2 linked regions of the Oryzias latipes genome follow. Each later gene encodes a partner of the first gene's protein in a complex. Links are inferred from orthologs where the notes say so. Each region holds a gene or a part of one and is shown on either strand. Other genes may lie near its edges.

Region 1 (3,549 bases):
ACGCCATCGTAAAGCATCCCAAACACGCTCAATAGTTTACATGTCCAGTGAGGATGCTGGGATGTTTTTAGCTTCCAAGAATTGTGGAGAGATCCTTGCAACATTGAGCCGTGCATCATCACACTGCAACATTGAACCGTGCATTATCATGCCACAGCATAATAATGCACGTGATGTTCTTTGATGTACAGCACAACAACATCCCTTAGTACAGGGGTGTCCAATTCCAGGCCTCAAGGGCCAGTGTCCTATATGTTTTCCAATCAACCTGCCTTTGAAGCTCCTAATTGGCTAAACACACCTGATCCAGGTAATCAACAGCAGATGAGGCAGGGTTTCTGGAAAACCAGCAGGCTGCCGGCTCTCGAAGCCTGGAGTTGGACACCCCTGCCTTAGGATCTCCTCATGGTAGGTCTGAATTCAAAACGCCATCAATAAAATGCACCCGTGTTGGTCATCCATAGCATACATCTGCCCACACCACAACCCAAAGCTCCATGGGCCACTCAACCGCATTTTCTCTATGTGAAGGAGATGTGTTGCACTGCCTGAGGCAGATGGTGGTCCACCAGGTATTGACTGGTTCCCAGACTCATCTTTGAGTTCGCCTCATGACAAACGGGACCAAAAAGTAAAGTTTTGCATTTATATTTTTGATAACACTGCATGTTATCAGCCAAGTTTCTCTTAGTTCCCCCCCTCAATAGTGAAGGGAGAACTGCAACAAACAGTCGAATCCTGCTCAGGAAACATCGGGCTGCTGCTGTTTGTATGCAGGAGGTTTTTGAAGAATAAAAATAATAACAAAAATAATAATAATAATAATAAAATATTTAGTTTGTATTTTCTGTACAAAAATCTAAAACTCTAAACTCAGCTTGAGATTTCTTTTGAGGCCACATCTATAGTTTCTCCACTGGACTTGTCAGGTTTGATCTTTTGTTATAAAAACTGCTGTGAAGGAAATTGTTTTCTGAAGCAGCAGAAGTGAAACCACATCGATTCTGTGAAGGGTTCGGTTCATTTCATGTGGACATTTAGCTTTTAGAGAATACTTTCTGAAAGTCTAGCCTCCCTATGAGTTCCCCTAATTGTTCATTTGAGACACCCCCCCCCCCCCCACACACACACACACACATACACACACACACACACAGTTTGCAGATGGCGACTGACCTGTGAGGAATATCCGTTGAAGAAGGAATACCAGAAATGGACCAGAGTGAAAGAGAAGTTCTTGAAGAAGAAGAAACGCAGGAACTTGCACATCCGGATGTAGGACCAACGCCCGTGTACCAACAGGAGGCGCTCCAGGTAACGGAACTGAGCAAAGGCGTAATCGCTGGACATGACGGCCTGCATGCCCTCCTGTCCACTGATCCCCACACCGATGTCTGCAGCTGGAGATGGGACGCAGAACGGGTCAGAACCACCGCAAACGAGAAACTGGGAGGCTGGAGCCGCGTTGGCCTCTGAACTTACTCTTGATCATGTTGACGTCATTGGCTCCGTCGCCGATGGACAGCGTCACAGCCTTCTTGTACTTCTTTACCAGGCTCACCACATTCGCCTTTTGTTTGGGGGTCACACGGCAGCAAATGACAGCCTCACACTCACAGGCCATGTCCACAAAGTCGATCTAGACGGAGAAATGTCACAAACTCCTGAATCCCGGTCCAACAATAATATGCATCTACTACACTGAAACAGAAGGTCATGCTGCTCTGGTTTTACCTGTCTCATTTCTTTCTCCCAGTCATTCAATGGTTCTCCAGGGTTGCTGGAAGGTGGACGTCTGCCCAGACGATGGAGGCGAAGGCGGCGACGTTTCTTCTTTTTTTCATACAGAATCTCATTCTGAGAAAACAAAACTCATTCAAGACTACAGAAGGAAATGCACAGAAAGGTAGTCAACAAGATTTCCGCCAAAGTAAAAAAGAGACTAACCAGCCATCCTCCAGTGATGATCAGAGCGTTCTTGCCTGTCTCTGTGAAGAAAGGCTCTTCAGGAGTCTGTCTGGCTCGGCGAAAATTTGTAGGAGGCTGACGCCTTCTGGTGGTCTGACGGATCCTCAGCTTCTCGCTACAAACCCAAAAAACAAGAAGATCAGCCTCAAAGAGAAGCAACAGCTGCATGACATCAGATTTCCTTACAGTTACTCTGTTCTCCCGAAATAGGAACAATTGAAACATTAAGATAATAAATCAAGTTGAGAAAATAAATACATTGAATAAAGTGTCTTTAATCTCTGTCATCACAGTAACTTATCAGTAATTGTGGCTTCAGGCATCTTCTTGTGCTGTGAAACCCGACTCTCAGATGAGAAAGCAGGTCTGAGCTCTACTTTCATGTCAGTTAATTAGGGTAGAAGTTAGGAGTGGCAGTCTTCTGAATGAATCTCCTGATACAGGCTCCTGACGCGCTGTGAGGTAGAACTGGCTCCTCTCTGAAATCTGGACAGAAGGCGTCTTCACGGCTCCTAAAGAGGTCGAGAGGTCATCCCACTTACTTGACATCCTCTCCATAGTGGACTGTCATGTCATCGGTCAGAAGGGAGCAGGAGTATCCGATGTTCTCTGCCGTCTCTGGAGATCCATAAACAATAGAAACTCAGGTTTAAGCTCTAATATCTCCAAGTCGTTCCCTCCTGCAGTGTGAAGCATCAGAATTCACCTTTCTTATCTCCAGTCAGGACCCAGATCTTGATGTCAGCCTTGGCCAGTGTGGCGATGGTTTCTGGAACTCCATCCTGAAGCTTGTCCTCGATAGCGGTTGCTCCAATGAGCTAAATTCAAATGTTTAATGTTTTTAAGCTTTTTGTTTAGCAAAAGCTCCATCGTTTCCATCAATAAAGCAGCTGCCTTCTCTTCTCACCATCAGGTCCTTCTCCACCTCTTCATACACGCTGTCGAGGGCAGCTTCTCGGTCGCCCATGACCAGCTGGGCCTCTTTGTGTTTCCTGGACCAGGCCTCGTACTCATTTGCACTGATGTCTTTGTAACACAAGCACAGCGTCCGCAGCGTATCGTTGGCAAAGATCTAGAACAACAGGAGAATTCAGATCCCAACACCTTATAAAGGCAGGTAAGACATGGTTGTAGAAAGAAGGAGCGCCATGAACCCACATCCAGAGCCTCCTGAGTGGTCTGGCGGTGTTGGGTGTTTGTGGAGAGTCGCTCATAAATGACGGTGTCGGCACCCTTGCAGTACAGACGAATGCGACCATCAGGAAACTTCACTGAAAACAGAGAACAAAGTCAGACAAAAATCATAAATGAGAAATCCCGTTCCTTAAAAAAAAAGAAAAAAAACAATATTGGACATAATTTCCCTCAATATTTGTCCCATGTTTTAAGTTTTTCTAAAAAAATACTAAAAATACTAAAAAGCCATCAACCAAAAGACTAAACCCGGTTTCTGGTTTTCCTCCCGTTTCCATCAGCGTAATATGGCTACGTCAAAAATAAACTTCAACCTTTAATATACTTGGTTGAGTGACCGAAGGAACAGGGCAATTTTTTGTAGTTTCTGAAAAGAGTGAATTTTTA
Region 2 (4,193 bases), on another chromosome or scaffold:
AAGTGCTATATAAATAAAGATTGATTGATTGATTGATTGATTGATTGATTGAACATCATGCTGGTGGATCAAGTTTCAGACCCTTTCAGGGTCAAACTCATAGATTTTGGTTTGGCAGAGAAAATTAGACATATGCGTAGTGGAGCTACGATACAGAACATTTGCTACAGGGCAACTGAAGTCATCCTGGGTCTGCCCTTAGACCAACATGTAGATTTGTGGACAGTTGGCTACATTCTCTTTGTGCTGTACACGGGGACCTTTATTTATGGATGGGACACCGATTATAACATCATCCGAGCCATGGTGAAGATGCAAGGCATGCCCGAGGAAAAAGTTCTAAACCAAGGGTTTTACACCACAAGGTTTTTTACCAAGACCAAAGAAAACTCTCAGGATGTCTGGAAGCTGGACACACCCCAACAGCAAAGCAGGAAAAAAGGGAGACTGGTCGAAGACGACATTCAGTTCTTGTCCTGTGACCAACTCATCCACAGCTGTTTGGACAAAACAAAAATCAAAGAAGTGGAACAGTTAGTGGACCTGCTCAAGCGGATGCTAATGGTGGATCCAAGCAAACGCATCTCTCCAAGTGAAGCACTACAACATCCATTCTTCACGATGGGGAGGGTGCAGCCCACTGCTGACACTCACACCACCAACCCTGAAGAGCCACCAGCAGTGGAGGTCCACCTACAGCCTGAAGCAAAAGAGGTCACCAATCCTCCAAGACCAGCTGCTGTTTCCCAGGAATGTTTCAGAATGAAAAAGAAACCATGCAGGATTAATTTATTATTATTTATAATTGATTTATTATTATTATTATTATAATTATTGACTTATTATGAATATACTGTTATTATTTATTATTATTATTGACTTATTGTTGGGCTTTTCTAAAGAATTGAAAATTACATGTCAAAGAGGTCTAAAACTTCTAGTACATGCTTTAAAATTATTTTTAAAAATTCTTTGTAATTGTTTTTTGTAAGAAGTCCTGCTACTGTGCATTTTTCATTAAAGTTTGAGCTTTTAATGCTGCCTGTTTCTCTTATTTAACAACAACAAATTATTTTATGTATGTATATAAATGATATACATATATATTATATATTTATATAAATGTATAAATATATATAAACATAAATATATATATAAATTATATATAAGCTACTTAGATGCCACCAAAGGCTATAGAATGTGGGCGCCGTCGACCTCACCAAGATGGCGTCGCGCTCCACCACCGTCGGCCAGGCTTCCCAAGCGGGCGTGTCTCCTCTAGCGTTATAACTCATTGAGTTTGACACCCCTGCTCTAGAGTGCTCCTCTCGGCTACACCAAACATTCTCCGGTGACGTCACTGCCACGTAGCGCCGTTCTATTGGGCCAGCAGCTTCCGGTTTCTTCCCAGCCAGGATTAACGAAAGTTGTCAGATCGATACAAATATGAGTCGGCACTTTGACTAGACGGGGGGATAAGTTCAGTTACCGGAAGACTTCTTAGGTTCTTGTTCCACTTTTTTCTTCGCGTCCGAGATCCCCGCCTAGCTCCCAGCTGCCAAGTGTCGGGATTGTTTTGCTCGAAGCGGTTAGCGAACCATGATGGCGTCAAGCTACAACGCTAAGGAAGAGGACGGCCACCACTCTGGCTCTTCGAGTCACGGTGGACCAGGAGCAATCAAAAGCAAAAAACCGGACAATACAGCATTCAAACAGCAAAGGCTACCCGCTTGGCAGCCGATTCTGACGGCGGGCACCGTACTGCCGGCGTTCTTCGTCATCGGCCTCATCTTCATCCCCATCGGCATCGGGCTGTTTGTGACTTCAAACAACATCAAAGAGTTCGAGGTACCGTTTCCTAGTCGAGTTGGATCGTTAAAAGATCTACATGTCAATCATTCCAAATGCAACCAGTACTTCAGCTGTCAACACTTTCAAAGAAGAGCAGCTAATTGTGTCGCATTAATTAAATGTTGTCACATTTGTTTTTAAAGTAAAAAAAAAACCTCACATTCACATTATTTGAACAATTTGGGGTCATAAACATAAATTATTTTGGTGAGCTTCTGCTGTCTTGATATTTTGCAATGCATTGTGGGTAACTTTGTATCCAGTAATGTGGAAGTGTTCAAGTATGCAGTGGTATAAAAGGCTTATAGACTGTTGAAAAAAGGAGGTTAATTGACACGTAGGTGTCTATATATATATATATATATATATATATATATATATATATATTATAATGTGTGTAAAATGTAATATGTTTTGATTACATCAATCACATTGTGTCCCAATGGATTCTTGACAGTCATGACTGAAACATGCTATGTGCTTGATAAGAAGTCTATTAAAAGTTCCAGCACAATTTTGTTCTCTTGTCTTGTCATTAAAGATTGTTCTCTTGTTTTTGTTTAGATTGACTACACTGGTGTCGAGATTGATAGTCCATGTTACATATGTGCTAAGAACTTCAGCTGGAACAGCACAACATCATGCGTCTGTTCTGTGAACTTCACTTTGGACCAACCCTTTGAGGTTAGTTCTGGTTATTTTGTTACTAAATGAGCTTTATTCATCAAATGAATTATTCATGTCTTCAGCCGTATCACCGTGTGTCCCAGACACAAAGTACCCATTTGGATCTATTTAAGGTCCAAACTAGAAGGTTGTCGTTGAATGATGTTCTTATAAATTATGCATTCTGGGTTTTTAGCAAATCTCTATTGATCTTTCAAAAAAAGCTTTAAAGCTGTTTGATTTTTTTTTACACCTGCCAGGAAGATGCACTCAAATAAATACACTTTGGAAACCATTCTTTTTTTTTTTTTTTTTTTGCTGTGAAAATAAAAGCCCAAATCATTTGAAATTAGCTTAGCATTGACCGCTGTCTGCGGTGAATCAGGAAAAAAAGTGTGTGGAAGACCTTTTTCTATAACTTTTTGCTAAAATAATTTATTATAATAATAGTTAATAAAATGAAATATATATTTTTAATGATCAAAATGCTCCTTTTTTTTAACTTTTCAAGACATCTTCTTCCTGTTTTTAAACAGCAGCTCATTGACACAACTCCTGCAGAGTTGTCATGTATTTGCATGTCAGCATTTTTTGCATCTATTTGCTTTTGCAAAACAAGTGGAACAAAAAAAATCTGACAGCTAAGGAAGTGATTGACTTTTTTCTTCTTCTAGTTTTACAAAAGACATTTCTACTCAACAAGATCTATATTTATCTATATTTTATTTATATTTATCTATATTTTTATCTATATTTCAGTGCAGTAAACAGTTATTGGGAGTGGGGGGGGGGGCACAAAAGTGTACATATTCCAAGTCAAATCTGTGCGGTGTTGTAATTAAGATGAATTAAAATGAGTCAGCTGTTTCCTTTCTAAACATAAAGCTAAAAAAAATCCTGTGCTTTGATCATCTAATTGTCTTTATTTCTGTACCGTCTGCCAGTTATTGAAGTGGTTGGGATTCTTTGTGGCCTTTTAATGGCTGCCTGAGCAGAGCTGATGCCTCTTAGCGGAGCATGCTCTGCAGCGGACAGGAGAGCGGTGGAGTGCCAAAAGGCCATCGACAGATTCTCTCCTCTTTTCTGAGTGCTGTACTTTCAGGCAGTGCGGTCTCCAGCGGGCCCTGCTGTTGTACTTTATAGGATAGTTTACGTGGCTGTGGAAAGTCTGTAAAGATTCACTCTGAAAGTTGTTTTCATCTTTAACATGTATTTGGAGGACAGGTATTAAGAAAATTAAGTTCAAAATTGCATTTTGGAGTATTTCTTTATTCAAATCTTTGTGAACTTTATCGCTAAAAGAGCCCTTTGGACACGATACCATCGTGATGGCTGACTGACATCACGATGGAGAGACACCATGATGCCACGCCTCCGCCACGCTGCAAGTCGACGGCAAAAGCCGCGGTTACATGTGCAAAATATCTTGATCGGATCAATGGTCGGATTAGACTTCAACCGTGTACGTGGGCCCAGAATAACCTTTCTGATTATAACAAACATTAATGGTCACACTTTAGGTCAGAATAAATCCTTCGCACATGTGCAGTAGTGTTTGAAATGCTGGAAAAGGAAATGAGTTCCGCTGAGAGGCTACATACATAGATATCTGGCAGCTCCGTAATGTACTAGATGATCTTCTAAACATGCTTTCATTAATATTACGGTTATTATGA

The links. Proteins that work in one complex are often made in the same cells at the same time.
Region 2: the proteins of atp8b1 (region 1) and tmem30a are in contact, whole or in part, in a cryo-EM structure (PDB 7VGI), measured with the Homo sapiens proteins. The link is inferred for Oryzias latipes from reciprocal best matches to the Homo sapiens genes ATP8B1 and TMEM30A. Residues at the interface, in NP_001361314.1 of Homo sapiens: Thr138, His359, Trp362, Glu363, Val366, Ser369, Ser370, Trp371, Tyr372, Leu373, Tyr374, Asp375, Gly376, Arg384, Ile388, Phe418, Asn420, Trp421, Asp422, Leu423, Tyr426, Lys430, Asp431, Thr432, Pro433, His939, Trp942, Arg946, Tyr968, Phe971; in NP_060717.1 of Homo sapiens: Lys24, Thr25, Arg26, Arg27, Pro28, Asn30, Phe33, Lys34, Gln35, Gln36, Arg37, Leu38, Pro39, Ala40, Trp41, Gln42, Pro43, Ile44, Leu45, Thr46, Ala47, Val50, Phe54, Ile57, Phe61, Ile64, Ile68, Ile75, Phe119, Tyr121.

What each region holds. Positions count from the first base shown.
Region 1 is NC_019870.2:28,409,134-28,412,682, reverse strand, and holds part of atp8b1 (phospholipid-transporting ATPase IC), read right to left. Parts: intron 3,240-3,549; coding exon 3,127-3,239; intron 3,041-3,126; coding exon 2,876-3,040; intron 2,787-2,875; coding exon 2,675-2,786; intron 2,587-2,674; coding exon 2,511-2,586; intron 2,084-2,510; coding exon 1,948-2,083; intron 1,858-1,947; coding exon 1,735-1,857; intron 1,640-1,734; coding exon 1,483-1,639; intron 1,401-1,482; coding exon 1,177-1,400; intron 1-1,176. UniProt on the Homo sapiens protein: Catalytic component of a P4-ATPase flippase complex which catalyzes the hydrolysis of ATP coupled to the transport of phospholipids, in particular phosphatidylcholines (PC), from the outer to the inner leaflet of the plasma membrane.
Region 2 is NC_019880.2:15,986,584-15,990,776, reverse strand, and holds the start of tmem30a (cell cycle control protein 50A), read left to right. Parts: upstream 1-1,372; 5' UTR 1,373-1,599; coding exon 1,600-1,848; intron 1,849-2,415; coding exon 2,416-2,535; intron 2,536-4,193. UniProt on the Homo sapiens protein: Accessory component of a P4-ATPase flippase complex which catalyzes the hydrolysis of ATP coupled to the transport of aminophospholipids from the outer to the inner leaflet of various membranes and ensures the maintenance of asymmetric distribution of phospholipids.